Linked DNA regions of Arabidopsis thaliana. The protein of the gene in region 1 interacts with the protein of each later gene in a pairwise test. Each region holds a gene or a part of one and is shown in the gene's direction. Other genes may lie near its edges. The genes, in order: AT4G33940 and LCBK1.

What was found.
Region 2: the proteins of AT4G33940 (region 1) and LCBK1 interact in a protein complementation assay, tested with the Arabidopsis thaliana proteins (one large-scale study listed by BioGRID).

What each region holds. Positions count from the first base shown.
Region 1 is NC_003075.7:16,259,352-16,273,650, forward strand, and holds AT4G33940 (RING/U-box superfamily protein), read left to right. Parts: upstream 1-6,667; 5' UTR 6,668-6,733; coding exon 6,734-7,016; intron 7,017-7,310; coding exon 7,311-7,507; intron 7,508-7,633; coding exon 7,634-7,732; coding exon of another isoform or gene 7,733-7,753; exon of another isoform or gene 7,754-7,941; coding exon 7,942-7,993; intron 7,994-8,103; coding exon 8,104-8,261; 3' UTR 8,262-8,533; downstream 8,534-14,299. Other genes in the region: AT4G33920 (Protein phosphatase 2C family protein), read left to right, coding at 1,525-1,783, 2,040-2,416, 2,756-2,992, 3,083-3,352; SSN2 (zinc finger SWIM domain protein), read left to right, coding at 3,941-4,001, 4,087-4,108, 4,224-4,329, 4,411-4,518, 4,612-4,713; AT4G33930 (Cupredoxin superfamily protein), read right to left, coding at 5,038-6,069; AT4G33945 (ARM repeat superfamily protein), read left to right, coding at 8,768-8,903, 9,002-9,313, 9,394-9,677, 9,851-9,979, 10,066-10,188, 10,441-10,548, 10,767-10,945, 11,040-11,163; OST1 (Protein kinase superfamily protein), read left to right, coding at 13,013-13,183, 13,495-13,569, 13,665-13,766, 13,851-13,904, 13,989-14,081, 14,151-14,243.
Region 2 is NC_003076.8:7,900,072-7,917,345, reverse strand, and holds LCBK1 (long-chain base (LCB) kinase 1), read left to right. Parts: upstream 1-7,760; 5' UTR 7,761-7,992; intron 7,993-8,161; 5' UTR 8,162-8,385; coding exon 8,386-8,838; intron 8,839-8,921; coding exon 8,922-9,296; intron 9,297-9,449; coding exon 9,450-9,543; intron 9,544-9,658; coding exon 9,659-9,696; intron 9,697-10,038; coding exon 10,039-10,083; intron 10,084-10,156; coding exon 10,157-10,303; intron 10,304-10,419; coding exon 10,420-10,519; intron 10,520-11,078; coding exon 11,079-12,013; intron 12,014-12,155; coding exon 12,156-12,305; 3' UTR 12,306-12,638; downstream 12,639-17,274. Other genes in the region: AT5G23480 (SWIB/MDM2, Plus-3 and GYF domain-containing protein), read right to left, coding at 194-303, 432-1,032; AT5G23470 (Haloacid dehalogenase-like hydrolase (HAD) superfamily protein), read right to left, coding at 2,577-3,485; AT5G23460 (uncharacterized protein), read right to left, coding at 3,939-4,274; FTRA1 (ferredoxin/thioredoxin reductase subunit A (variable subunit) 1), read left to right, coding at 13,568-14,116. UniProt on the Arabidopsis thaliana protein: Involved in the production of sphingolipid metabolites.

The sequences.
Region 1 (14,299 bases):
CTGTTGTTTAAGAAAGAAGGTGACTCATTTAATGTTTGGTTCTTGGGGTTCACAGAGCATTGTTCACTGAAGAGAGATGTGATACTAGAGAGATTCTTAGTGAGCATTGACAGAAATAATAGTAGTACTAATTAAGTTTTTTTTTGTTTGATGAATCTTGTATGCATCGGTATAATATGAGTGGATATGCAAATGTTAAAAAAAATAAAATGAATGGATCTATATATGTTGAAAATCACCCTATGATCCATAACAACGATAAATACGCATCCATAATGTTATAAATGTAAAGGTAAACATCATGATCAAAAAAGTTCGACAACTTGGGCCAATGAATTTCCAGTTGCTTCCGCGTATATATATAAGTCCTTCCACGTCAATTTCTTAATCCCAAAATGCAAACCTTTTTATAACAACCAAATAAAAATGTGCCACTTGTAATTAAATATAAATTACTCCATAAGCAATAATATTCATCGTTTTAATAGTATGCTCTAGAACACAGCACACAAAGATTTGTTTTGACCAGAACATGTTTTTTTTCTTATACCGGAAACGGTAACGTGATAATAAAATTAGGTTAATAATAATATAGATACTAAGATGACTAGATTATTAGCAAGAAATTGTATTCAGTTGTTATCCGTCTTTCTTAGTTGACAAGCAAATATATCAGCTACACGTTGGCTACAGGTTACTCATCCTTACCCATTCATTATTCGCTCATTATAACAATTTCCCACTGATATATTCAAATACAAAATATATAAGACACAAAATAGAATTAATTTATTGCTATTTGCAGACGATGTAAACATTTTTGTAGACATGAACAATTTAATTGATTCTTTACTCATCGTAGACATGAATTTATATTTCAAAAGGGTCTACTATTTCTAAATAATATTCAAACATTGACTCTGTAAATCACATATAAATAAATATATATATTATACACTACATTAATATAATATCTCCTATTTCAAAAAGAAATAAAAGTAGCTGTTGAATTTAGATATTTTTTTGTTGGACCGAATCAGAATTTAAGTTTTTGAATTGTTCCAGAAGAAAGATATTTTAGTATAATATACGGCAATGACGTTTATGTTTGGGCCAAAACTTTGTCTATTTATTGAGAAAAATAAAGCTAAATGGAGAAGAATAACAAAAATAAACAACGCGTTGAAAAAAACTGCAAAAAAAAAGAGAAGGGGGAGGGCGAAATTAAAACAAAACGACGCGTAGTCTACGTAGCCTTCTAAGAAACGGCACAAGTACAAGTCATCTCTATCAATATTCTTCTTCTTCTTCCTCACGCGGTTTTCTTTTACCACCACCAACTCAACACACACACGAATCCCTTAAAACCGATCAGATCAAACAAAAACGAACGAATCAAAATTCAATAAAAAAAAACCTTTCGATTTCTCTCATCCAATCGAATCGAAAATCTTGTTATCTCTTTCTCTCTAACTCTACTGCACTCAGAATCTCTCTGTATAGAAAAACCCTAAGTAGGTTGTGATGTTGCGAGCTTTAGCACGGCCTCTCGAACGGTGTTTGGGAAGCAGAGCTAGTGGTGATGGTTTACTCTGGCAATCGGAATTGAGACCTCACGCTGGCGGTGATTATTCGATCGCGGTGGTTCAAGCCAATTCCAGGCTTGAAGATCAGAGTCAGGTTTTCACATCTTCTTCTGCTACTTACGTCGGTGTATACGATGGTCATGGTGGACCTGAAGCTTCTAGATTCGTTAACAGACATCTCTTTCCTTATATGCACAGTAAGTTATAATCCCACTCTTCCTTCCCTAAACTTGTTTTAGGATTCTTTCTTCTTTTGACTCTTTGACTACGTTTTTGATGGTCAAAACTTATGAGATCTCTATTACCCTGATCATTTCAATATTAAAAGATTCGAATTTTGCTATGAAGTTTTGGTCTTTGTGAACATGTTCAGGTTTGTAAATTGCCTCTTGAATTGATTTTGTAGTCATGTTCTTGTTAGTGAAATTTACAGGATTGGTTTTATGATTGCAGAATTTGCAAGAGAACATGGGGGATTATCTGTAGATGTTATCAAAAAGGCATTCAAAGAAACAGAAGAAGAGTTTTGTGGTATGGTTAAACGATCCCTTCCCATGAAACCGCAAATGGCTACTGTAGGATCTTGCTGTCTTGTTGGTGCAATCTCTAATGACACACTGTATGTTGCTAATCTTGGGGACTCGAGAGCCGTTCTTGGAAGCGTTGTTTCAGGGGTTGATAGTAATAAAGGTGCCGTAGCTGAACGGTTATCTACTGATCATAATGTTGCTGTTGAAGAAGTGAGAAAGGAGGTTAAGGCACTTAACCCTGATGACTCACAAATCGTCTTATACACACGTGGAGTTTGGCGGATTAAAGGCATTATTCAGGTATAACTTAGTTTTGCTTGCCTGCTTGTTAAATTGCGTGTGATTACATAGCATCTGTGATGAAGTTATAATATTTAAAAGGTGTAATCTGATGTTGTTTTTTCTTTTCTCTTTTCATTTATATAAATGGGGGCTTGCAATGTTCCAGGAATCCGTCACACGGGCTCCTGCAACGTTTCTTCCCCAGTGGATTTTGTGCTTTTCTAAGAATTCCCGGTAGTCAGAGCTATACATAATAATGAAGATACATGCTTTTTAGTTGCTTGTGACCTTTCCGTGAATGTTTGAGCTCGTTGTATATTAGTTAGCTAAATCGTTTTCATATACGCTTCTTTATAGGTATCGAGATCAATTGGGGATGTATACTTGAAAAAACCGGAGTATTACAGGGACCCGATTTTCCAGCGACATGGAAATCCCATTCCTTTGAGGAGACCCGCGATGACAGCCGAACCCTCCATTATAGTAAGGAAGCTTAAGCCACAGGACTTGTTTCTGATATTTGCATCAGATGGTCTCTGGGAACATCTTAGTGATGAAACAGCCGTAGAAATCGTCCTCAAACACCCAAGAACTGTAAGTTTTCCCTAAACTCAAGTTTGCTTTGTATCTTCACATTTATGTTAGCTACTTAGTTTATTTATTTATTAACTCTGTGTTCTACAGGGTATTGCCCGAAGACTTGTAAGAGCTGCTCTGGAAGAAGCGGCAAAGAAGAGAGAAATGAGATATGGAGATATAAAGAAAATAGCCAAAGGAATTCGACGACATTTCCATGACGACATAAGCGTTATTGTAGTTTATCTAGATCAAAACAAAACCAGTTCATCGAATAGTAAATTGGTGAAGCAAGGAGGTATCACCGCTCCACCGGATATCTACTCATTACACTCTGATGAAGCAGAGCAACGACGGTTACTCAATGTGTTATACTGACTGTTTGATTATGGTAAAATGGCTGCTTGGGAAAGATCCGAATAGGGAGAAAACTTGTTTACATATTTGTTTATTTGTTTTTCTACGAAGAACTGGTTTTTTTTTTTTTTCAATATTGGAGTTGGATTTGTATATTCTTTTACCAGCAAAGAAGGTCGAAACCCTTTAGTTTTTGGGCAAAGCAGTTTTGCTTTTGACACAAACAATACTTTTGTATGAAAATCTAGTGTGAAACCGTTGAGGACAACTCTTCATATATCAGATTGTTTTTTTTTATGACCTTGTATGGAGAGATTAGTATATTGAATTATTTGTCTATAATAACTAAATAAAAACATTATCGATCACAAACCAAAATAAGCCAACAAAATTCCAGATGTTGCCTAAATTTTGGAAAATATGCATGACAGACATTCGAAACTTCAGATCCAAATCAAACCGAAATTGAAATTTGTCAAATATCTAAACCGAATTGAACACGAGCGGTTTTTGAGAATATGAAATTGGGCAGAGCAATTCAAACTCAAAAATTCAACAATTCCAGAAGAACTTTCTCAGAAAAGTTTCGACGGAAGAAAAAGCAAAACGATGAACGTCACTCTTTTGGTCGCAGACGCCGTTTGGTCGAACATTGAATCAACCGGTTCAGGTACTTCACCATTTTACTACTTCTCTCTTTCCTTTTCCTTGTTTACGACATTTTATTCCGTTGAATTTTCCATCTTTTTCTGCAGTAACCGAAGAACAGCTCTCAATGTCAGTTCTCTCTTATACATAGCTGGGATTCTTTATTTTTCCCGAAAATATTTATTGATTTTTCTTCAGTCGTTTGGTATGATTAGGGTTTATCGATTTAATTTTGCAAATACAGCTTGCAGCTGTTGTTTGGTAAGAATCTTGAGAAAGCCACCAGAATAATCGACAAGAGAGGCGTCAAGAAAATATCTGGCTTACCCAGTGGAAGATCCATCTTTCAGGTTTCAACAGTTCTCTCTGGTTAATAAAAGCAATCATATTTGATTATCTAAGAAGATTTGTTTTTTTGTTTGGGTTTTCAGGTTGTGGGGGAATCTCAGAAGAGAGAAGAGTATCTCTGCTTCCCAGGAGATTACTGTGGATGTTATTCTTTCTTCTATGATGTTGTAAGCAGAGGAGAGCACCAATGTGTAAGATTCTTAATCAGAATGCTTCCTTTTCTGTTTAGAGATTTTGTATCAATGTTACTGACTTGTTATATTCTACTTTTCTCTTTTGGCTAGTGTAAACATCAATTGGCTGCGAGGTTGGCTTCTTCTTTGGGTACATACAACGAAATCGAGGTTTCTGATGACCATCTTGCCTTGATGCTCTCAAAGATCTGAAGCTTTCAATACAACTACATGTCTTAGGCTTATAAGTGCCAGTAACCTGGGAATGATCTGTGTCTTTGAGAATTATATGGATCAAGATTCTTCACATGTTTGATGAACAATGTTGCTTCACCTTTTATGTTTAACTTGCTGTATATAAGTCTTGAACTGCTATATTTTCAACTTCTTAATTCAGTGGAAGAAAACTATGAACTTTGTAAAAGTAGTATTCATGCATAAAACTTTTAGTGACTCGTATACAAAGATTAATTAATCAAAAAAGCGTAGAATGGAAACAAACTCAATGATCAAAGAAAGGAACAAGTGGATTTAGAGTTAGTGTGAAGAAGGGCGGGGAATGGGGTGGACAGAGAATTTCATGTTGTGGTTGCATTCGTTGTGGTCTCCACTGGCGAAGTAGTAAGTCTGAACCTTACGGAGAAGCAACTTGAAGCCTCTTGATGATGAACCTCCTCGTGCAACCAGCTTCTTGCCTCTGGCCACATTGCATCTCTTGAAGCTCTTCATGTCTGGGAGCAAGTAGACGTCGTTCTTCTTCTTGTTACGGTGCTTCGTCTTGGATTGGGTTTGATCATCGTTGTTGTACTTGAAAACAAGAACATCGCTGACGTAGAATGGGGCATGCTTTGCTGTCCATTCTGTGTAACCGTATCCGTTTTTCCATACAGTAACCGCAATCTTTCTTCCAGCCGGTATTGGAGCCGTGTGGTTGTGTGTAGAGCCAGTGATGCTGGAGTGGTTTGAGCCAGAGCTGTGATTGTTGTGTGTAGAACCAACGATGCTTGAGTGATTTGAGCCAGAGCTGTGATTCTTGTGTGTAGAACCAAGTATGCTTGAGTGGTTTGAGCCAGAGCTGTGATTGTTATGTGTAGAGCCAGTGCTGCTTGAGTGGTTTGAGCCAGTGCTGCTTGAGTGGTTTGAGCCAGAGCTGTAACCGTTGTGTCTAGAGCCATTGCCGCTTGAATGGTTCGAGCCAGTAGAGGTGTGACCGTTGTGTGTAGAGCCAGTGGCACTTGAATGATTCGAGCCAGAGCTGTGACCGTTGTGTGTAGAACCAGTGCCGCTTGAATGGTTTGAGCCAGAGCTGCTTCCCCAACCCCAGTTTGTATCTGTTCCGTCGGAGCTCCATCCCCAACCCCAGCTTGAACCACCCGAGTTGGAGTCTGAACCACCTGAACCCGAGCCAGAAGAACCGCCAGAGTTGCCGGATCTCCATCCCCAACCCCCGTTCGAACCGGACTGGCCAGAACCCCAACTCCAGCTCCATGCTTCAGCACTCCCGGAGAACACGAACGCAGTAACCATGAGGACGACGAGTAACTTACGTCCACAATAAAGAACCATCATCGTGTCTTCTTCTTCGTTTTTTTTCTCTCTCTTTTTTTTTTATGGCTTTTGTGAGCTCTTCAGAGTTTAGAGTTTCGGTATTTATAGAGTAATGAGAGTCGGTTCCCATTATTTAGTGAATATAATTTTATTTGTTTTTTTAGTAACAGTAATAGGATTTTTTTCTTTTTCTTGGATCAAATAGTAATAGGATTTTAAAAGTGGATAAATCTAGCTTTAGTTATTATTGTTTGAATTTTGATGAGTCTTTTTTTTTTTTTTTTTTGCATATACGATTAACATTGCTTAAGGATATTGTATATATCTTTAACACACAAAAAAAAAGATATAGTATACATAGTTTTGTTTGATATTCTTTTTATTTTCGCACAAAAAAAAAAAAAAAATCTTATTTATACTATAATGAATCTAAACATCTGTCCACCTTTAATCCAAGTACCTCTCCCAACTACTGCGACTAAATGACCCATTTGCCTAAATGTAGTCCTTTACCTTACTGAAAATAGCGAGGACAAATCAGTCATTCACCGCCCTAAAACACGCTTTGACATGTATTTATCCATTTACTGTTATTTTATCTGTAAGAAATCCAAATAAACTCATTTCTGTAAATTAGGAAACTTCTGAGAAAGTGACGAAAGCGAAGAAGGTTTCGGAAGTAAATATGTCTTCCTTGGGGAGCAGCAAATCCCTGAGGGATGAGATGGAGGTAACAACCGCCGATGTTTTTCCGGAGGTTAACGCCGCCGCTGTGACGGAAAATCTTGATCGGAACGAGCTTGTGCTTGCTGACGGAGTCGTGTCGGCTGAGGAAAGGAATATTGAGCCAGACAATCGTGGAGAGAGGAAGATAGAGAGCGAGTCGCCTCCAGAGGATGATGTTTGCCCGATCTGTTTCGGCTCCTTTACGGTTCCGTGTCGTGGAAATTGTGGTCATTGGTATTGCGGTTAGTCTTTTCATCTTTCTTCTTCTTCTTGATTCTCTTGAGCCATTTCATCTACATTGAAGTATCAAGCTTGTGTCTTTTTGGGATATTTCTGTTCGTCAGAGGTAAATTTGGAGAATTGTTTGGGTTGGAATTGGTTTAGGGTTCCTTTTGGTAGCCAAGAATGATTTATCACAACTGATTAACTTTTGAAAGTGTTGATTTTTAAACCATGCTCTGTTACTATGGAGTGTTGTTTGCAATGTCATAAAAAGATCTGAAAGTTTCTTAAACCGGTTGCTGATTTTGTTACAGGAAATTGCATCTTGCAGTACTGGAACTATGCTGCAATATCTAGGCCTTGCAAGTGTCCCATGTGTGTTAGGCACATCACGAAGCTGTCACCAGAACCATCTTTGCAAGAGCGTCAGGAGCAAGAGGTGAAGGAGGTTCTTGATAAAGTCCGTAGGTATAACCGTCTCTTTGTTGGAGGTCTAACTGGCTTTGTTCAGGTACGGTCTTTTTGATTCATGATTTTGTTTTGCTTCTCTTTACTGTTTCATGCATTTCTTATCTATGTATATACTTATTTCTCCTTTTTATGACTTGGCAAAACCACCATCTTTCGAATAATTCAGAAGGTGCATGAGCTTCCGTTTCTAGTGAAGAGAATGGTGTGGCATATGATGGATACAGATGTGAACAATCTGTATTTTCACGAAGTGCGCATCTTTGCAGTTAAGAACATCTTACCCTGAAATTTACATTTCATAGTTTAGTGTTTAGTTATATCTCTACCCACTTATTCTTGTTGTCATTTGTTGTCTGTACTAATGGCCAAGCAAGACAATCTTTGTAATCATCATAGGAGCAACTAGTTTGTATTTATTCTTGTTTTTAAAGGCCATTGAAAGATGAGAAACTAAGTTTCTGTCGGTGTTTGCAGATGTTCATGAGTACCCTTTACACTGCCGCAGAGTTTAACTTCATTCCAACGGGTAAGTTGCCTCACAAATCAAAAACCAGCAATGAAGGGTTAAACAATCTCAATGTGGTGTGTTTAAGGCTTTTAAGCTTTCCAAGATTGATTTTGCCCTCTTTTGTACAGGCGGGTTCAGAATAGTGACAGTTTTTGACTACGCTGCGATTGCTATGATCCTGATTCTACGCTTAGTAGGGATATATCGGAGGAGACGCCTAGCTCAGCAGGTTAGACATCTAGCAGCTGCAGCAATTGAGCCGGAATTAGAGCAAAGGGAATTGTAACAGACACGTGAATCTATTAAGTCTTGTGCAGTTTGATCCTTGTGGATAAGTTTGGTAGTAGATCATAGAAACCTCGAGAGTCGTGTGCAGTTTTACAGACAATGATATTGCAGACTTTAAAAGTATATACATATCTCCTTTTCTAACAGTGGAAATAAAATATTGATTGGAAAAGATCTCTCTGGAAAAGGATCTTAATCTTTGATTAGATGATCAAAGGGTTGAACAAATGTTCGAAGAGTAGAAGTGGATATTCTAAAAGACGAGTGATGAGTGATTTAAAGATTCAAAAATTTCATAATTATCTGAAATAAAATGATGGTAGAAGAAAGAAACAGTGCCTGTGGTCTCGAAACAGTGAAACGACATCGTTTTAATTTCAAAAAGACACCGTTTCTGTTTTAATTAATTGCTTTCAAATCAGTAGAAGAAGAAACATCGATTGAGCTTTCTACTTGAAAACCATCTTTTCCGATCTATCGAATCGGAGCGGCGAAGGAAGGAGAATGGGTGTCCGTACAATATCTCAGGAGGCATTCGACGATCTGGTTAGGGAAAATGTTGAAGATCTTGGTATGGATCCCTCCGAAGCTCTCGAAGACGCTCTCTACACTCTCAAGCTCCAAGGCGTCGATCTCTTTGGTCCGTTTACATTCTCTCCTCTCTTTTTACTTTCTCCAGAAATTGGCCTTCCTCTCGAACTGGCGTTAGTTCAATTTGTGTGTTTGTTTATGGTACAGGGATCATTACATGTGTTCCTGGAGAAAGTAGCGTTAAGGACAATCCGGTGATTGCTTGTTTAGATAGACTAAAAGAATTCGACAGTGTTTCAATAGACGGACCTCTTCGAGATGAGGTTTTCGATGAGATATCGAGTTTGTTCAAGAATCTCAATGAGCTTTGTAGCAGCCAAGAATCAGGGAACGCTGCAATTGCGACAAAACATGGTGCTGTGGATTTAACTTGCTCGATTTGTTCCAAAATCAAGATATCTACTAGAAGTAATCGTGTTCTTGTTCCTTGCTTTAAGGCTTTGGCTGTGTTGATCCGTGGTATGACTTCTGTTCTTGAATTAGTCGTTCTTGTGTGTTTTAACTTTGATTTGTGTTGATCATGTGTTATTCAATTGCAGACATTCAGAGCACAGAGAGATTCAGGAATTGTACTGGACCAAATATCGTTGTTGATCTCTTAAATGATTCCAGCTCCGATTCTGATTTGTTAGATGCTGGTTTTGCGGTTGTTGCTGCTGCAGCAACTGGTAATGAAGTTGTGAAACAGTTATTCATGGAACTGAAAATCGATGAACTTATTCTGCAAGTGTTGAATAGAGAGAGTAAAACTACCATTAGAGCTCTGTACGATGCTATTTGTGCTCTTTTGACTCCAGATGACTTCCGTGTTGTTGCTTCCCAAGTAAGTATGGTTACATTCGTTTGGTATATGCCACTTTTGACTGCGGGAATGAAATTAAGGGAAAACAGCTATATAGCACTTAGCAAACATTTATAATCGTTGTTTTTTGTGCTTATTCATGGACATGCTTTGAGAATTCAAATCCACTAGACTTTTGCTTCCATGTGTTTCAGGTTTATGGTTATGCACGAACTTTTGCCAAATTAGGGATTGCGACAGCCCTCACTGAAGCATTACAGGCAGGGATTGGCTCTGATAGTTTGGTGTCAGCAAGTACTGCGTTAAAAGCAATTGCTGTCAATGTAAGTCTCCTAGTTGAAATCTCTGTGTGATAACATTTATCTGGTTAGGTTCTTGCAAGTTCTTCATCTGGTTTTGCTGTAAACAGGATGAAATATGTAAATCTATTGCTGAATCCGGTGGAATAGATACACTTCTTCGGTGTATTGATGATAGCGGTGAGCAAGGCAACAAAACTGCTGCTAAGACATGTTGTTCCCTGTTGTCTAAGGTGAGTAGCTTCTAATATGCCCTGCAGGCTGCCTCTGTTGTCTTCATTGCCTTTGGTTATTCAAAATCCTTCTTTAAAACTCAGGCTTTCAAGTATTTTCCGCACCATATTAAGGAGTAGCTTATGTTCATGTGCTTCTAATAAATGCATGTTCTCAAATTTTAAGCTTTTCCAAAGCCTATTACTGATTTAGATTAGCATTGTAACCACGCATGATAAATGTTTATCTAAAATTTGTATTTTGATCTCTAGTTGGCAGGAAGTGACTCTAACAAGAGTACCATAGTTGAGAAGCAAGGTCTGGACAAGCTAATCACACTCGCACTACGATTCTCTGATGATCCTCTAGTCATACAAGAGGTAAGTATATAAACCAAACGAAAACCCTCTTATGACACTATGTCCCATGCGCAATTTTAAATCTTCCTGTCTAGAGAAGATACTTGTGACTACAGGTCACGTCTTTGGCAGTTTTCCACTAGATAGAACGTAATGTCGTGTGAAGAATGTTTCTTGTAGCATTAGGGTCTGAGTGCATAATCCTTGTGGTTGATCCAAGATATACTTGATTGGTTCAGGTGATGTTGATAATCTCTATAATCTGTCTGAGATCACCAGACCACGCAGCCAAGGCTATAGAAGCTGGAGCTGGTGATCTAGCGGTCCAAGCAATGAAGAGGTTCCCAGTAGCTGCTCAAATGCAGAGAAACGCTTGCAACATGATACGGAACATTGCTGTCAGAAGTGCAGAGAACAGGTTTTTGCTCTGTTTCCAATTCTTGTCATCCAACAATATGCACATATCGCAAACTCTTTTATAATATCAAGTTCTGTCTGCATGCACACTACAGAACTATTCTGCTTGCTAATGGAATCGAGAAGCTGATAAGAACTGCTAAAGCCAACAATGAGACATGCAGAGCCGCTGCAACTGATGCACTGAGAGACCTTGGCCTTGATAACTACAATAACTAAGGTCAATCTTTCTCCATTGGTTGGTACTCGCAACAACCGGAATGAATCCAGTTTTTTTTTTCAAAAATTTCATAAACAGTTTGCATTGAGTTCTCTCTTTTGGGTAGAAGGCATTCCGATCTAGTCTTTTTTGCAACGATTGCTTTTGTTCGAATGCTTGAACATGTAGTAAAATTGAAAGGAATTGATTGAAAATTTCGGTGAAAGGTACTCTAAATAGTAAAAAAGTAAATAGAGAAACAGAGGCTTCACAATGAGAAATTTTCATTCATTCACTAAAATCATTCGTTTAGTCAATGAATTTCCTTTATTTAGAAGAAATCGATTTTAGTTTGAAACAAGGACAAAATGTTTGTTTGACTAAAGGGAAGAGAAACAAAGACAAAATGTTCACGTCCATGGAATGATCGAGCTCTAGAAGAGTGTATTGGGAATATTAAGTACGGATATATGTTTTTAAAAGATGATTAAAAAAAAAGTTTGCAGCAAAATCGTCATGTGGATGCGCATAAACAAAAACTTTAGATAGTAAAAATGATGGGCTATAGTGATGATGAGTGCAACTCTATCGGTTTCAGCTTTTAGGTGAAGATCTGACAAGCTAGCCAACAATATCTCGACATTTGTGGTAACTTGTTTTTCTTTTATTTTCCGTTTTTAAATGCGGAAACCCTTTTTATATACCGAAATAGAAAGTAAATCTTTTTAGTGGTCATTAATACATGGAGGTTCCCATGATTAGCCATAAGCTTGTTTAATGCGAGTATATGTTTCATCAGCTCCGTTTCAGGACATATTTAAGGGGCAAAATTAATCCAGTAGCCAAAAATGTACATATGTAAGGGACATATTACGATATTAATATATAGATCCACTAACAGAAAAACTAATTGTTAATTTAAATTATTTCTATTTCATTTTTCACTGTGTTTGATTAAATTAAATTGGGATATAAAATCAATTCAAAATCTGTTATTTTAAATCTCATACCATTCTAGTGCTATATTTTTGAAAACTTAGATATTTTTAGTAACTGTTCTAGGCATAAATTTAATCAATTAATATTTTCATATTTTTTGCTATACTATTTACAATAAGACATATAATAAATCGGAAAAAATTAATGCATAATATTATGGAGAGATAAAACTTACTGAAAAATAAAGAGTAACAAATCACATAGTTTATACTAATACTTTGCCAATAAAAAGAAAGTTTATACTAATTAAAATATTATTTTCTATACTAGTCACGGTAAAAAAAAACATTTCTAAAAACTACAGGCCCCATTGTTTGTCAGAACGTTGTAAGTAGAAAGGGTAAATCCGTCATTTCAAACTATCTCCCATGCTTTGACAAATCACAATTCAACAGTTCACAGAAAAAGCGAAAACTTCTTCTATCTCTCTCATCTTTCTGTTTTGTATAGCTTACTTCAAGCTGTGGTTTAAACAGAACAGAGAAAGCTGTTTCCTTTTTATATTGACAGAGAAAAGGAAAGCTGATAGAGAGAGAGACAGAGAGAGAGAAACAGAGTTCAAGATCACGAGCCTTCCTTCTTCTTCTTCTTCTTCATCGAGAGCGATCAAAGGAACAAAAAGGATCTCAAGAAACCCACTTGTGTTGTTGGTTAGATACTTCACGGGTCTCTGAAAACGTCTCTTTCTCACAACCATAACTTGATCACCCAATACTCCTTTTCTCATCTTAAAGGCTCAAATTCATCCACGTCACACCGTTGTTCATTTCCTCTGATGTCTTGGTGTCGTTAGATATTGTCTCCCAAAAAAGAAATCTTCTTGACACAGAGATTGAAGTCGCAAAGAGACAGAGGAAAGAGGGGGAGAAAATGGATCGACCAGCAGTGAGTGGTCCAATGGATTTGCCGATTATGCACGATAGTGATAGGTATGAACTCGTCAAGGATATTGGCTCCGGTAATTTTGGAGTTGCGAGATTGATGAGAGACAAGCAAAGTAATGAGCTTGTTGCTGTTAAATATATCGAGAGAGGTGAGAAGGTCAGTTTATTTTCTTCTTGTTTTTTCTCCTTAGTCCAATTTTATTTTATGTTTCAATTCACTAGGTTCTTGAATTCAAAAGAAATCATTTTTGTGTGTTCATCATCCAATGAGAGATGTGTGTTTGGTTACTTTATGGTTATGAATGGTTTAACCCTATAGATTTACAAAATTGATTGATTTTTATGGAAGACCAAATTTGCTCTGCTTTGCTTTATGACTTATGTTGTATAGTGTTGTTTTAAAGGCTCTAGGTGTTTCTTTTGTTATGGAACGTGGTATTAATGGTGGGACTTTTTGTATTTGTACAGATAGATGAAAATGTAAAAAGGGAGATAATCAACCACAGGTCCTTAAGACATCCCAATATCGTTAGATTCAAAGAGGTTTGTTTTCAACTCTCTTTTAAGCTGTTTTCTTATTATTAACATTTTCAGGAAAAAAAAGGAATTCTATAATTTAATCCTTAGGATTGCTTCAGGTTATATTAACACCAACCCATTTAGCCATTGTTATGGAATATGCATCTGGAGGAGAACTTTTCGAGCGAATCTGCAATGCAGGCCGCTTCAGCGAAGACGAGGTTGTTCTCTCTTTTTTTTCTTGCTTTGATGATTAATCGAAGATTCAAAATGCTGAGGCTAATATATCGTTTACTATCATGTAGGCGAGGTTTTTCTTCCAGCAACTCATTTCAGGAGTTAGTTACTGTCATGCTATGGTAATGAAAAATGCTCTCTATCAAATCAATGCTTCATCCTCTGTGAAATTCAGCTGACTTAAGAAGTTAAATTTTATGTTGTAGCAAGTATGTCACCGAGACTTAAAGCTCGAGAATACGTTATTAGATGGTAGCCCGGCCCCTCGTCTAAAGATATGTGATTTCGGATATTCTAAGGTATCTTTGAAAACATTTCAGAAACTCTGAGTTAGTTAGTATCTCTAAGCTTTGTGTTTTCTTTTTCAGTCATCAGTGTTACATTCGCAACCAAAATCAACTGTTGGAACTCCTGCTTACATCGCTCCTGAGGTTTTACTAAAGAAAGAATATGATGGAAAGGTACTCCATTTTCATAGTTCCCAAACTAGTATGATAACCATATCTTATAGAAAGAA
Region 2 (17,274 bases), on another chromosome or scaffold:
TGTCTGCATAAGATATCAGATAACTACTTACGCTCTAAGGGGGAAACAAAGATCTTGCGCAATATTCAATATCATATAAAAAAGATTACGGATATTAGTAAGCTTCAGAAGAAACATTGAGGACTAATTTTTTGCCTTGATTGTCACTGATAGGAAGACAAAAGTGGAACAGACATAGTTCTAAGAATATTACCTGAGAGAAATCATCATCTGATAGGGAAGAGGTAGTAACATCTTTTAGATAATACGAATAATTTGTAACCTGAAAAAGATTACCATCAATCGGATCTCCTTCCTTCACACCTAGTTAATAAGAGATGTGGTTAGTGATAGTCAAAAGAAGTCACAAATGAATAAGCTCAATCTCAGAAAAAATATAAGAAGTTATAGAATCTTAGTTTTTTTCGAACCAGGATTCAGCTAAAGCTTACCGGTTACATGAACAAGCTGACAAGGATTCTTGATCCTCACAAAAGTCCTCACCACTTTGCTCTCAAAAGTTTCAGGAGTCTTTGCTAGTTCCTGGACTAAACTCTTTCTCAAATACAGAAGCTTAACAGTATCACGCACTATTGCAGCAAAAGTCCCTCTAGGCTTTGACACAACCTGTTTCGTCTGTTTAGCCACCTTATCTGATAGAGACAATCTCTGTTGTTTATCATCCTCTGAAGCGTAGAGATCATCATAGAATAAGTCTTCCTCCTGATTCTCTACATAATGCTTCTCTACCAAATCAGGGACTTTGATTACATTTATCTTCCCAGCACCGAAAAGCAAACGCAACTTCTCATCACAAGCTACTGTCTTTCTCCTCTTCTTGCTCTTCAAAGGAGTTTCACGGCTCTTCTCGCGGATATAGTTCATTATAATCGCTGTAACATCATTCTCTGATATCTTGTTGGTGGTATCTCTACCAAGTGATTCAAGAAACTCAATGAGATTTCTCGAACCCCATCCAACAAATTCCAAGCTTTTAGGTTTTCTCAACCTCTTTTTACTCGAACCTTTCACTTTCTCATTATCATCCTCCATTTTAAGTGAAACCCTGTGATAGATATTTCAACCAAAACAAACAAGTAAAGGTCAAAGCTTTCGATCGCCATTTATAGATAACTACAAGTTTCTAAAACAAAGACAGAAGGAGAGAAAACACATTACAGTGATGAAATGCAAAACCTTGACGGGTATATGAAACGGCACGAACTAAAGACGGAAACTTTTTTCTTTTTTTTGGGTATGAAAAAGACGGAAACTTTGTGAAGTAAAAGTGAGAATCGTCGAAATAGGTGACGAGAGAGAGAGAAGATATACCCTGGAGAGCGACTGCTTGAGACGAAGGACACACACTGTTTTATTCGATTTATTGTTCTTTAATCCGATTTGTTGTGTACTGTACTGTGTACCGTTGCGTTGGTCTCTGCGTGCATTTATTGTCGGGTCACCCAGCCCGTTACCCAATCCGAATAATCAGAACATTCTAGATAAACTCATAAAAGTAATTGAAATAAATATTTAGTGATGTAATGGGCCATTTTGTTCTTCTCTATGTCAAATCTCGTCAGGCCCAAAAGGCCCATTTATTGTGTGTTTTGTCAAACCCAATAACATTTTAGAGTACACTTCGGATAGTACCATGATTCGATATCCTAATTACCTTTATCCGATCTGGACTCTGGAGCCGCCATTGGGTGTAATATCTTTGATCCAAAATGGAAAAGGTCTAGTTCTTGAGCATGAGTCTTAATTATTCTTCTTTGTTCTTTTTCCATCTAGTTTATGTTTCTTATTCTTGTTTGCTACAATACGACTGACACAAACCCTCATCTTCTCATACAAAAAAAGGTTCGATACCATATAAGTGATGCATAGAACAATAGATGAATATATTGTTCACTCAATTAAGACAACATGGTTACAACGTAAGCACTTTAAACCTACTGAATTGAATCTGCATGTACTACAAAGCTTTTGCTGATAATTGAGATCCTTATGGAAAGAAATAACCTGCAAGAGAAAGTTGTTGCTAAGCCTGTTTCACGCCTATAAGAAGACTATCCATCTTTGTTTTTTACTCGTCTGTTACTGTTACTCTTACTGTTATTGTTACAGAACAAAGGAGTGTTTCCAAATCAGAGATGTTTCAGGTCACATTCATCGAGGGAAACACAAACATCATTAATCATGGTATCAAGGATACAACAACACAAACTCGATCTTTGTCTTTTTGGAAGTCGAGTGAGCTAGGAGCTGCGTAATCACCTTTCAATTTCAAGTTTTCATCTCGTTATATGTTTCTTGTCTCACTAAATGTTGTTAGAACCAGAAACATCCTTAATGTGACTAGTTTTCTGTAAGTACCACCCATAAGAACCTCAATACATCTTCAATGAAACATTATATTATAGATTGAAACTGAATCAAAACTCAAAAGTCACATCTCATCACATTATGAAACGCATAAAGTACCTCCATTACCAATAACTACCATCAAGATCTAATATAATAAACAAAACACAGGCCGTAAGAAAGAAAAAAAACACACGCAGAAACATAAAAAATGAATCAACACTTTAACTTCAAACCACACCGTCTGCTTTACGCTTCCATCTCAAAGAAATCTCCTTTAGCAACGGCCTCACATCCACTGAATCCAAGTCTTTCTTCGACCAGTCATAGAAGAATTCTTCGTGAACATCCTTGAGGAATCTCAAAGCAGTATTCAATGGTCCTTTCTCATCACTCTCATCTATCTTCTTCTTATCTTCTGAAAACAAACAAGACTTGTCTCCAAAATACTTGTACCTAGCAATCTGCAGCAAGTTTTTCTTGTCATGAGGCCAAACACTACTGGTATCATCAACAATCACAATCCCACGTTCATCAGCCAACACAAGATCAAGCGTCTTAAAACCAGGACTCTCTCTTCTCGTTATAACCCGATTGCCAAAGTAAAACTTGTCCGGATCAATCATCTCCAACACGAGCCGAGCATAGTCATAACCACCCTTTGTGTAAACGTACATAGAGAACATCTCATTACATTCTTTCAGAAACTGGTGAACAAAAGGTCTCAACTTTATCAAAGATTCTTCAGGAAAGCCAGTGTTGAATCTCTTTATATCTTTCCTCGATTCAACTTCCTCTATTATATACTTTTCAGATTCATAAAGCAGTGAAGTTTTAATGGTGTGAATAAGCGTCTGGTCCAAGTCAAGTACTAAGTGAAGCTTCTTGTCTTCAAGCCAAGAGGTTTGAGAGATGAGCCCTTTTGTAAAACCTAAAGCTTCGTTACTCATCTGCATCCCTTTGTAGAGATAATCAAAAGATCTGCCTTCGAAATTGTCCACTGTTGTATAGCAGGAGATACAGATCTTATTGCGGACGAACCAATGATTGCAATTAGGAGACGGAGACTCTATGGTCTCTGGATTGATCTTACGTCTTTTGGATTGTGGCTCAAGAAAAAGGTTTTCAACTAGAGACATGGTTTCGAATCTGAATCTACGAGAACTAATTGAAACCGGACACAACGAAGAATCACCTGAAAAGCTTATGAAATCGACTCAAAAACCTAGACTTTTTTTTTTTTGGTTACAAACCCTAAAGAGCAAAGAGTGAAAAGCTGCGAAATTTGTTGTATACTGGAAAAAAATATGGTTTTGGTAATTGAGGTTTATATAGAGAGAGCGTGGTGAATCAAATAAAAAATTCCTTTTTTCTTCGAAAGCACCGACTCTCGACGCGCCAAAAGGCCCAAAAGGCCAAAACCCTCGTCATCTTGACCACTATACCCTCGATACTTATTAAATGCAATGAGGCTTTGAATCTCATGGGCCTTAGTTTTTTTTTTCCAGCAATTTCCTTTGATTAAAGCCCAAAGGCAGGAAATACAGAAGGTTCAAAAAAATTACATGGATATAAGCCCAGGCCAAACCAAATTAAAATAAAGATAAACAAGAAACGCAAGTTGATTTAGTGTCTAACACGTGTAACGAACGTGTCGTCCTTAAGCCACGTGTCATGACGTTGAGCCTCATTGTCGGGTTCACCGGGACACCGCAAAAATTCCGATCAGCCACCGTCAATCGGCTTTGAGGCGATGTGAATCCTCTTTCCTCATGTCGATCTCTAAGCTTGAGCCCACAACGCCAAGTTTCTTCCGGATTTGAGTAGAAAAACTGCTTCAAAAACTCTCCGATTAACGCCAACTTCGGGGAAGCTCCATCACTGGCCACACCTAAGTTGATGTAGTTGAATCCTTGCTCAAACATCATGAGCAATAGGGGAAAGATGAATATATTATTCCTCGAGCAAATTGGCGGAAACAAAGAGGATTGTGAAGAAGAGCGAAGATGTCAATAGTGTCAGGAGAGTGAGATCGAAGACTCGCAAGAGCGAGAAAGTTTCGGACATAATCGAAAACAAAATCAGAATTATTAAATCGTACAAGGCGAAAATATACACTGATCCGGTAAACCGGAAACAAAAAAACGAAATCTAAAACTTCGATTGAGATCGGAGTAGAGATCCTCTCCCTCTGATAGATGCGAGAGCGAGAAGAAAGAGATCTATCTTATGGGCCTTAGTTCACATACCATCCTTGATTATTCAGCTCAAGAACTTTTCTTTCTTTTTTTCTAAATTAACATTAAAATATTTTAAGAAAATTTGCAACTATGTTCTAAAATTTAACGTTCTTTTCTCACTGATGGAAAATATTTTGTGACATTATATAAGAGTTTCCAATTTCAACAATAATTCATTGTTTCGAGTTTGTTATTTCATGTAAAAAAAAAACATGTGGAACATATGTACACATATCTCGTGAATTATATCCCAATAAGCTCGTAATTAAGGGTATGATTTTTCATACATCATACGTTCAAACATTATTAGTTTCCGATCTAAGAAATATATGAATTGTTTTTCTAAGAGTTGAAATGTACGTATTTCTCAAGTTTCCATAAAGGTAAGCTAATCCTCTTTATGTTAACAACGAGAAAGAATAAGCTAATCATCTTTATAACTTTTCAAAAGATGTGTGATTTTTTATTTTTTGCTGTTGTCAAAAAAAAGATCTGCACAAAACGTGTTACAATCTACCATGACACTACAATGAATATTCGACAAAGAATTAATTGCATCATTATCGTTATCGTTCCAAACTTTATTGAAGTAATACAAAAAATAAAGCAATAATGCCTTTAGATGTGCCCAAGCTTTTATAATAAGAAAGAAGAAGATGCCCTTTTAACAATTCTTCTTAACGAAGCATCACTTGTCTGTTGGTCGCCACATCCAAATTCTAAATTGAATGAACCAAACCAATATAACATTTTCCACTTTAATAATTTTATTTTGACTTGTTTATGTAACAATGGTCGGGACCATCTTCCCATCTACCAACTTCTTCCACTATTAAACCTTCTCTAATCATCCTTTTAAGATTATAAGGTTATTACTTAAGCTAAACCATCATCAACTAACATAGCATAATCGTTTTCTGAAAGCTAAATTATTAAATCTGGCTATGGAAATATTGACAGCTAAGCTAAACCATTTTAAGAAATTTTTTGTTTGTTATATTCAGAATATTCGGCATCTATAGTGAGAAAATATGGTAAACTACAAATAGTAGTAGTAGTTTGTGACCAATAAATATATCATATCTAAATTTGGTGTAACGGTGGTTGACTTTCTTATCAATTTTGAAATTATTTATTTGAAAAAATAGTCGTTTCTTTTGTCAAGATTCAAGAACATAAGTAAATTAACAATCATATATTAAATTTCTTTGAATGTGAAAGTCGGTGATTTTTCTTTAAATAGAATTAGGTTATATCATGGCAATTTCCAATTTATGTTTTTTTTGTAGTTTCTATAATATGTCAGAAATCACTTAGCATTATGGTTTACGTCACCAGTCACTTAGATACATATAATATATGGTATATCATTTCAACATCATGTTTTTGTATTTGAAAGTGTTTTCATTTTTTCTTTTCTTTTTGAATATCTAAAAGTTCAAACATGAAAACTTTACTTTCCCTAAATTTAGAATTCACATCTAGTTAAATTCATATTTTTGGAAAAAAAATTCATCCCAATAGAAATATAATCCAGAACTTCTACCTGTGAGATTTATCAATGGGCCAACTCCGTATTGATAAAATGTTTTCATTTATCTACAACTTCTTCTAATTTTGATTATAAGTAAAATTGTCATCGTTTTTCTATGTAAATATTTAAATCCACGTATTTGATGTTCCTTCTTTTCTATATATAATATATAATATAAATAAAATGATTTATTGTTATTTAAAGATTAAAAAATAATTATAGTGTTTGATGTTGTATCTAATTGAAAATAATATCAAATATCTCATTATAAATTTAAACAATTAAATTTTTAAAATATAGATATATATTTGGTTTATGATACTACGAGCGTTAAAAACTCAACTCAACTCATTACCCAATAAGTTTATAGCTAAATGAGTATATGAGTTGACCCAACCAATTTGTTTAAATGGATTAACCTATGCAATTAATAACTGTTTAAATAATTAATAAAAAAACTATTTATAATGATTATATGAACGTAATTTGTATCGATTAACGAGAGTAATGGAATGCAATTAATGCACTGTAACATTTTTAAGTCAATAAAACTTCACATTATTATAACAATTCACGATTACAAGAATGTCTAAAACATAACCAAAGCTATCCACTACCATTTGAAAACATCATTCATATTTTTTTTCCCTAGAAGCTGGATCTCTAAGATCTGATCGAATAACATTCTAGATCAACTTACTATACAAGAAGAATGAACCAAAAGAAGAAAATAAAATTGCAAATCACCAATTGCAAAACGGAAAAGGAATAACAAATGAAACAAAGAACTCGTCTCCAACAAAAACGATAGAAGAAGAATTAACGAAAAAGCTCTGATACCATATTAAACTCCGATGATCGGAGAAGAGATGATAACGAAAACTTAACAAACTTTCATTACACACATAAGTGTTTGTTACAAAGCTTAATTAATCTGATCATGAAAATAAGCTTATATAGTATATACTTCTCTCCCAAGTCATCTACAATTCATAACAAATAAATATATAAAAAATCATTTAACAATAGAAGAAGATGAGACATGAAATCATATCAATGATATTGTATCACACTTTTATCGTCAATCACAAAACCATATAACCAGGAACAAGTACACAATATAGTTTGGACATTGTTAGGAAAACTTTGATTTATGATTTATCGCCTTGTTATATATGAAATTTTTTAAAACATTTCCAGAAAATATATATGTATCAAAATTAGAGTTTATATGATTTATCTTAGATGGATATTATACTTTGATAAATAAAATTTGTTACTTATTAAGTTTTTTGAAATATAAATAACATTTTTACTGAATTTTAATAACATTGTTTTGTTTCATTTTATAATCAAGGAAACAAATTCAAATCTAATTACTAAAAAAATTCTATGAGAATTCAAATTTACCTACTAAATATATAAATATAAAGTTAGGACTAAAAACTTATATTAAAAATGAGGGGTTTTAAAAAAAATATCTTGCGAATAAAGCAATTGCAAGAATAAAATATTTCGAAAAATAAAGTACAAAATAATTTTAAAACATAGCCATTAAAGTAACAAATACTACTATAATATCATAAATAAAATAGATTAAAATTTTGGAAAAAAGAAGTCCAAAAAAAGGTTCTGTAGTGGAAATAAATCCGAAAGGAGGGGGCCATAGGTTTCTGCTGTCGAGTCGAATCCAATCGAAATCGAATCGAAATTGAGTCGAGTCATCATCTCCTCCGCCATTATCGTCTTCTCTCTCTCTCTCTCCGCCACCTCTCTTCAATTCTGACGCTTCTCAGATCCTCCGATCCGGCGGCGTTACTTTTGCTGATACACTTCTCTCCATTTCTTCTTTTTGTTCGCCGAGAAGCTAAGGTAAGACGAATAAATAGCTAAAAGCAAGCTCTGACGACGATTTCGTTTTCAGATTCGTTTATCATTTGCTTCCGATTCCTCATGATCTGTTGTATAGTGTTCTTATTTTGATTGAATTTCCATCAAATGCTGGTTATAAATCGATCCATGGACATGAATTTTGTTACAGGAGAATTCTTCCTGAAAACGCGTTGATGGATCTGATGTATAGCTACGGATTAGAATTGTGTAATTCTCTCTAAAATCTGTTCGTTGACCAGCTCGAACGAGGTTTGATTGGGTTTCTCTGTTTATGCTCATCAGGGGTTTTGTTTTGTGTATGCCTTCCGATCACTGTTTGTCGTCTGTTTCGTCCGCGGAACTCAAGAGCAGAGAGATTGTTAGTGTACGGATATGCAGAAGAGTGGTGTTAATCGGAACCCTTCTTTGAAAGTAGCCATTCCTCAGGCACAACAGTCGCTTAGACGTTTAGGTTTTTGCTCCCAAATAGCTACGGGTGGATCTCAGCAGTCATCTCCTATAGTATTCCCTGAAAAGAGAAATAAGAAGGTGAAGGCATCTTCGAGACGTGGTGAGGTTACTAATGATCCACAGGTGAAACCGAAGCCTGATGAGCATCGGATCGATATTGGTGGAGGGGATGAGAAATCAGATTTGTTAGGTAGTCTTGTTTACGCTGGGAAGCTTGTGTTGGATAAGAGGAAATCTGCGAGTGGAAAAGATGCAACAGAGATACAGCAACCAGCCGCTACGGACATCTCTATTAAGAAAGCAGTTGATGCAAAGCTTACAAGCAGCGCTTTGGTTTGGGGTTCTGACATGCTACAGCTTAACGATGTTGTCTCGGTAGGTTTTTGTTGGCCTTGCAATGAACTAATTAACTCTGTGTTTTGGAGAACTGAGTCAACAAACTTATCTATGTTTTCCAGGTGACATACAATGTTGGTCTTAGGCATTTCACTGTGCATGCTTATCCAATTGGCAAGGGTTCTTGTGGCCTGTCTTGCTTCACGAAACCAAAGAGAAGCCGCAAGGATTTCCGCTTTGTCGCACCTACAGTAGAAGAAGCCGTTCAATGGGTGGCCAGTTTTGGAGATCAACAATGTTTTATCAACTGTTTGCCACATCCTTTAGTCGCAAAGAAACAGGCTTCGTCTGAGTTATTTTCGGTCCCCATTGATACCCCTCCTGAGTTGGTCTTCAGGTGTAAGAGTGCACCCAAAATGCTTGTCATATTGAACCCTAGGTCAGGACATGGACGATCTATCAAAGTTTTCCATAATGTCGTGGAACCAATTTTCAAGGTACCGTTCCCATCTTTTTGTTCTTTTTGGATGTTGTAGTACTACATCATCACATTATTTCCACTTTTAGGTACCCTAGAGAACCATTTCCATTTCTCCAATCCCATTATGCATTTTTTTTAATCTTGTTTATGATTTTGTGAACTGTCACAGCTGGCCGGAATTAAGATGGAGGTTGTCAAAACAACTAAAGCAGGTCATGCGAGAGAATTGGCTTCCACTGTCGACATTAACTTATGCTCTGACGGTACCTCTACTTGTTCCAACACTTAATGATATGTTTAACATATCTAGCTTCTAATATGCATATATTTTATCTTACATATCTACTATTACTTACGAGTTCTTAATAATTCTTCCAGGAATTATTTGTGTTGGAGGGGATGGAATCATCAATGAGGTGTGATAATTACCTTTCCTAAACTATACTCATTTTTTCGCCCTATTTTGGTTAGGAGTTAAGTTCATGAAGTGATGTTCCTTTTATACCATACTCCCGGTTACTTATCTGCTTACAAGCCCTGGTGCCTGAACGTACTTCGGAACCAATTTTGGTATTAAAATGAAACCTTATTGGCTTATTTCAGCGTGCTCACACCACTTTGCAAGCATGTTGAATAATTTAAGAGTTTAGATACTCTAATCCTCCAGAGCGAGGACTTTGGGATGCATCTTATAGGGAAATACTTGCTCGAGTTGAAACACATGAGAACTTTCACTATTGATTTTTCGATTGATGTAGAACTCTTTAGGTAGACTAAGATGGATTCAAAAGACTGCTTTCGATGTTAACATCTCCTAGATTCTATTTACTTGGAATGAACTCTCATCTCAAGGCCTGCCTTATTTCAATGTTTCAGGTTCTTAATGGTCTGCTTACTCGAAGCAATCCGAAAGAAGGAGTTTCTATCCCAATTGGAATAGTACCTGCTGGTTCTGATAACTCGTTAGTTTGGACTGTCCTTGGTGTAAGAGATCCTATTTCTGCAGCACTCTCTATTGTGAAGGTAACCCCGCCTAAAATCCTATTGGTCCCTGCTTTGTTTTATCCAGCCGCCAACATTAATTAGCTTCTACTTAATTAATATTTTCTCAGTGAAAGATTTTTTTTTTTTTGGTTTAGGGTGGCCTAACAGCTACTGATGTCTTTGCTGTTGAATGGATTCATACCGGTATTATACACTTTGGAATGACTGTTTCCTACTATGGTTTTGTTAGCGATGGTAAGTGAGGATACCTGTGTGCTTTGTCTTGTATGATTTTCTAATGATAAACAGTTTCTCAAGTGTAGTTAGGTTTGAATCTGTATTCCTAGCTTCTTTGTTTCATTCACCGTGTCTGCAACTGTTTAGATCTTTCATGCATTTTAGAGGAGAGTTTTTAAATCTTCCTTACTGTAATTTTTCAGTTTATCTTCTAAATATTTTAACTGGCACAGTGTGAACACTATGCTGACTCCCAAGACACATAATTTCATAGAATATTGCAGAATGTGCACTCTTCTGATGATGAGTTAGAAGCAGAAAATCGCCTAGTTATTCAAACGTATCATGGATAAACTCAAATACATTGAACTTGTGCAAAAGGCTGTAAATCTCTCTCCATTTCTTTAACAGCTCCGGTGTGTGTTTGATGTATTAGTTTGAGCTATTGGACGCTGTCTCGTGTTTGACGTCAGGATTATTGCACATATAATTACCTTCATGAATACTGTATAATGTTTGTGGCATTCACCTGCTATAACTAAATTTCATGGTTTTTCTTGTCATTATCTATTTGCAGTTTTGGAGCTCTCTGAAAAATACCAAAAACGGTTTGGTCCTTTGCGTTACTTTGTTGCTGGATTCCTCAAGTTCATGTGTTTGCCGAAGTATAGCTATGAAGTGGAATATCTTCCGGCACAAAAAGAGGATGCAGAAGGCAAAATTCGACTTGAAAAGGAAGCTGTGGATATGCAAGATCTCTACACGGATGTAATGAGGAGATCAAGCAGAGAAGGATTTCCTAGAGCCTCCAGTTTATCAAGTATTGACTCCATAATGACCCCAAGCGTAGGCGAATTAGACACTTGTAGCAGCACACATGCCAGCACTGAGCCGTCTGAATATGTCCGTGGAATAGATCCTAAAATGAAACGCTTGTCCTCTGGAAGAAGAGATGTTACGGCTGAGCCAGAGGTTATTCATCCTCAAGCACAGTCAACAACCCCTAATTGGCCAAGGACAAGATCAAAGTCAAGAATGGATAAAGGATGGATGGGGTTAACATCCGTGCAGGATCCTCCAACTCGATGTTCATGGGGGAATACCGGTGGTCAAGACAGGGAAGATATATCATCTACTGTATCTGATCCAGGTCCAATCTGGGATGCAGGACCCAAATGGGACACTGAACCGTCTGCTTGGGATGTAGAAAATTCGATCGAGCTGCCTGGTCCTCCTGAGGATATAGAGACAGGACTGAGGAAACAGAGCATCACTCCAATATTTGAGGATAAATGGGTTTCGAGAAAGGGACATTTCCTCGGCATCATGGTCTGTAACCATGCTTGTCGGACTGTGCAAAGTTCCCAAGTCGTGGCTCCCAATTCAGAACATGATGATGGTACAATGGATATGCTCTTGGTTCATGGGTGTGGAAGACTGAGGTTACTGAGGTTTTTTATACTTTTGCAAACAGGTCGACACCTTTCTCTTCCGTATGTTGAGTGTGTAAAGGTAAATTATCTTTCCTATTTTCTTACATTACGAAACCTGCAACTCGCTATGTGCTAGGAAATGCTAATCAAACGGTCAAACTCAATGCAAATATTATAAGTCTAGAATAGAATGTAGTTGATCAAATGCATGACAATTGCAGGTGAAATCAGTGAAGATAAAGGCGGGGAAAAATACGCATGACAGTTGCGGGATAGACGGGGAACTGTTTGCATTGCATGGAGAAGTGATATCGACAATGCTACCTGAACAATGCAGACTGATCGGTAACGCTCCTGGACGACATTCATAGTTAATTAATCTCATCTAAATTGTGAGGATGGTGAGAGAGTTTGGATGTTTATATATCTGGAATTCATTTTTATTGTTTTTTGTTTTTTGTCGGCGTCAAGTTTACGGTAAGTACCATCTATGTGATAAGAGAAGCAAACATGAGAGAGTATACCAAGTACATCCTTTTGTGCCATAACTTCCCTATAACTCTAAAACCCTTTGTATATTCTTTTGCCCTTTTTTGTGTGTTTTGAATTATATATGTACTGTGTACGTGTTTTCTACAACGATTTGTGTGTTTCCATTTCTTTGTTTGGATTAGTCGATCAATAACGAAATAGATGATTTGAAGTAACGAGGTTTTTGGACTAGGTTAACTAGGTGAACTTCTAAAGTGATATTATTTGTGGATTAAGAAGATTTTATTCGAAGATATTTAACTGATAGAGATTCTTTCTGTCTGACTCGGAACTTTGAAGCATCAGAGTCTCACAGATGAATATAGTAGAAGCCGCACGTTCCTCATCCCGTGAAAAAGGACACACGTCTGACTTCTTTATATTGCTGGGTCTTCTTCTCCCTTTCCTTTTTACTTCTTAAAGTTTAAACCTTTGTTATTATCCATTTCATTCACATGTTTTTTTTTCTGTCTGCTTATCATTTACACGTTTCTTGATTTGTTTCATTCGAAAAAAAATCATATTAAATTGCATCCATATAAATTTGTAGATGAAGATTTTGACATATTAAAAAAATGTAAATGCATATTTTAGCATCAATTCTTCCAACTAATAATGATAAAAAATTTCCATCGTTTGGAAATAGTAGACACTATCACACTAATGATCCGGTAGTAAACCATGTGCATGAGCCATGAGGTTAATTTGCATTCTTTCATTTGATTTTCACTCCATAATCTTTCGTTTTTATTTGGTCAGTCAAAACTCAAAATAATAACACATCTAATTTTAGTGGCTTATCCGGTGGACTGACCATCTTCAACTATACATTTTGAAAATTATTTGTATTTTAGATCAAAATTATTTATTATTAACAAAAATAAAATAAAATACAACTTATATCCAATGATATATATAAACATATATATCAATGGTCAAAATTTTTATAATTTTTAAAATTGTAAAGCAAAATATTAAGGTCGTAATAGTAAAATGTTAATTATATCTTCCCACTGAAAAAAGAAAAAAGAAAACGAATCAGTTTTATTCCACTTGCACAAATCTTCTTCACACACATTTTTTTTTCTTCACTCGGACTGATATGAGTAGCCAAATCGCTTTGTCACCGGCCATCGCCGCCGCCATTCGCCGTCCGTCCTCTCACGACTGTCTATCCGCTTCCGCCACTACTGCTACCGCCACCCCCATGGCTCTCAAATCTTGCATCGTCGCACCTCTCTCGCTATTCACCTCTCAATCTCAAATCAAACACTCAAGCTCAAGAAAAACTTCTCGAACCACGATTCGATGCGATGTAGCGATAAAATCCGCAGATTCGATAAACGCAGACGCCAATCCTTCGTCCTCACCGTCATCAGAGGAAGAAATCGAAGCGGAAGCGAAGGCGAAGATAGGATCTAGGGTTAGAGTAACTGCACCGTTGAAGGTTTATCATGTAAATCGAGTTCCAGAGGTTGATTTAGAAGGTATGGAAGGTAAACTCAAAGATTACGTTGCTGTTTGGAAAGGGAAACGAATCTCAGCTAATCTTCCTTATAAGATTGAGTTCTTCAAAGAAATTGAAGGTCGTGGTCTTGTTAAATTTGTTTCACATCTTAAGGAAGATGAGTTCGAGTTCATTGATCAGTGATGAAACAAGAAAGACAATTTTTGTTTTCCTTTCTCAGTGTTTGTTTTTGTTTGTTGTGTTTACTGGAACCTGGGAATGGAGAATGATTTGTATGTAGTGTGATGTGTATTCAACCTTTAGCAATCATATACATAAGGGTTTCTTCACTCTCTATTTATGTTGATTTGATTCATTGGCTTGATCTTGTTATTGGTTTCTTAGTGTTCGATAGATTGGAAGAAACGAAAAGTTGGATCTAGATGTGGTTTCTTGATGATTAATAAGGGCAATTTTAGGCTGCGGTTGTTTCAAATGATTCCATTAGCAAGATCAAGATCCAATTTGGGATAACACCTAGTTTACTATGTTTGCTGTTTAAGACTAGTATCATTGAAGTATCTTGAATTGAAAGGGTGGATCTTGGTCATGATGGTAAGGGTGATTAGGGAGTGGAGCTCAGACTCTCTACTAGATTGAGTTAGCACTTGAGATGTTACATAGTGTGGATCGTACTTGAGGAGTCTTAGAGAAACAGTTCCTTAGGTATTCAGATGATTTTCCTATATGCAAATCTGTGTTGTCTCTGTTTGGTTCATGTGTCTTTAGCTTATAAAATATGTTTGATTTTGAATCAAAGGTAAACTATTGTCATTCTCCTCTTCTGTCTTTTCTAGTATTTGTGAATTCAGCAGCTTCGTGGCTGTGGTATTGGTGATGATCTTTATGCTCGTGGTCGCATTTCGTCCTAGTGAGATAGAGGAGAAGGCAATCTAGATTTGTAGTCGTCATCAATCGCATTTTGATCTAGGAGATGATTGAGCTACGATTGTTAGTCTTTGAAACCTTGTGAATTTCAAGCTTTTGTTGTTGATAGAGTATATAAGCTTAAAGTCTCTAAAGGAAAGTGCTCCAAAATATGTCATCCTTATGTTTAGTTGGTGGGTCAGATTAGGCCCGTTTTTCGTTCGTGGGTCAGATTCTAGGCCCGTATCGGTTTAGCTATTCCTATTCTCATAAACTTTAAAACAAGATATTTTAGGTAGAGAGAAGCGAGTCGTCTTAGTCAAATACATATGCCCTAAGGTAGACAGGTTCATCATCATAGATATCACGAGTCTGTCATTATTCTCAGAAGAAAACTAAAAAAAAAATCTTAGTAATATGTTTAGATTTTGTGAGGAATATTATTATGGTTGTTTGATCAACTCTAACGTACTAACACGTCCATGTATCACGTCTTCCAAAGTTCAACGTTTTATAAAGATTGGAGTATTAAAATTGGAGTGGATGGAGATTCGAGCTTGCATATGAATAATACAATAATTGGATTACAAAACTCAGATTTGGTGACAGCACATCTAGGCCAAGGCCAGGCCAGACCATGGTGGCAATGATTGATTTAGCTTTTTAATTAGCTAATGCATTGTGCGCTTTCAAAAGCAAGCAGCCAAAGTATATGTAATGAGGGACAAAGTAATTTAAACTCTAAAAAGTCAAAACGCTTATATATGTCCGTAATTTTAGGTTTCTATTTCAAAATTTTGTAGTTACTGTAATCTTGTCTTTAAAAGTTGTTACAATCATCTTCCACATAAAAACTTTATCTTACCGAATGTTTATTTAATTAACATCTATCCATAAAGTTGTTTTCTTGATGTTACGTAATTGATTTCTACCACCTAATGAATTTCTTCTTTAACAAGAGAATATAAAAAACATGATTTTAAAATAGGTGTTCCTGATATTTTAATGTAATGTGAAATGTCAATTCTACTTAAATAACATTGCACCAATAAATCAAGTCCCTAATTCTAAAAATTCGACGACGGATAAATGATTAAATTAACCATTCAAAATAATTATGAATTTTTGGTTAAAGTCAAGATTCAAGAAGCATTGCAACATTGAAATCATGGTTTCACAAAAAAAAACTCTTTATTAAATAAAAAAATCTTTTGTTTTTGGAGTTAGAGTTTGTGTACTTGTAAAATGTATGGGATCGCTCATGGCCCCATGCAATTAGGTAGTCCGTTACTTTCAAGCCAAACCTTTCACCATAATTTTTTTGTCTATCCAACGTTGGTCTATCTACTGACTGTCACTGTTCTTTCATTATGGATACAAAGTTACATTTTGCTGTTGGATCGCTCACTTATTTATCCTCACAGTACGTTATCACTAATATTGTATAAAAATACTTTGGAAAATAACCGATAAGTTATATGATCATTGCATATTTGTTTTGGACGAGTTTTTTAAATGTTAAGAGATACTAGAACTGAAACACTTGTACATAAATTTTGTAACTTTTGGACAAGGGTCCATGATAATAAATTTATTTAACATCTAAGCAATAATCACCTATTAATGATTACATCGCCATTTTCCATTATAGCACCGACAGTAGTTTCATAATTCCATTATATAAAATTTCGGTCAAAACATTTTCTTAAGGATTAATTTGCAAACCGCGATTTCAGTTGTGCAATGTCTCCCCTTTTTTAAGTCTTTTATTGATTAAAAACTATTTTTGGATATGCACTAGTACTATTTTGTTCCTACAATCAGAATGTATATACTCTTTTTAATTTTCCACTGAATATACTCTTATGTAGAATAATTAATTGTTATTGTTCATTTTAGATGCAAAATACAAACATGATGGTTTCTGACAAAAAGAAACCAATGGTAAAAGTTTAATAATTTGTACTCTTCCTTGTAAATGTAAATGTGAATAGTAGCAAGATGCATGAAAAATGAGGAACTCAAAGAATTAAATGAAAAAATTGTTTTGGGAATTTGAAATAGAGAGAAGAGGGAGAAAACTTAAAAGAGAGAAGACGTAGCCAAAGGTTAAAAAAGTATCTCTCTCTCTCTCTGCGCCTCCCTTTTTGCTTCTCTCTCTCTCTTCTTCTTCTTCCTTGTGCTCTGCTCTCTGTCAATCTCTCTCTGTCTCCTTTTTTACTTCGCCATTGGAGAAAAGAGAAATCACTTTCAACTTCTCCTTAGATTTTCCGCTTATCTAAGACAACAACGAAGTTCCGAGTATTCCTCAAAAAAATTCCTCCTTTATCATTTCTTCACTTCCCCAAATTTTGTGTGTTTTCGTGGAGCAGAGTGAGATTGGCGTTTTGGGAAGACGAAAGTTAAGCCCTTTTTTGCTGGGTACGGCTTCCATT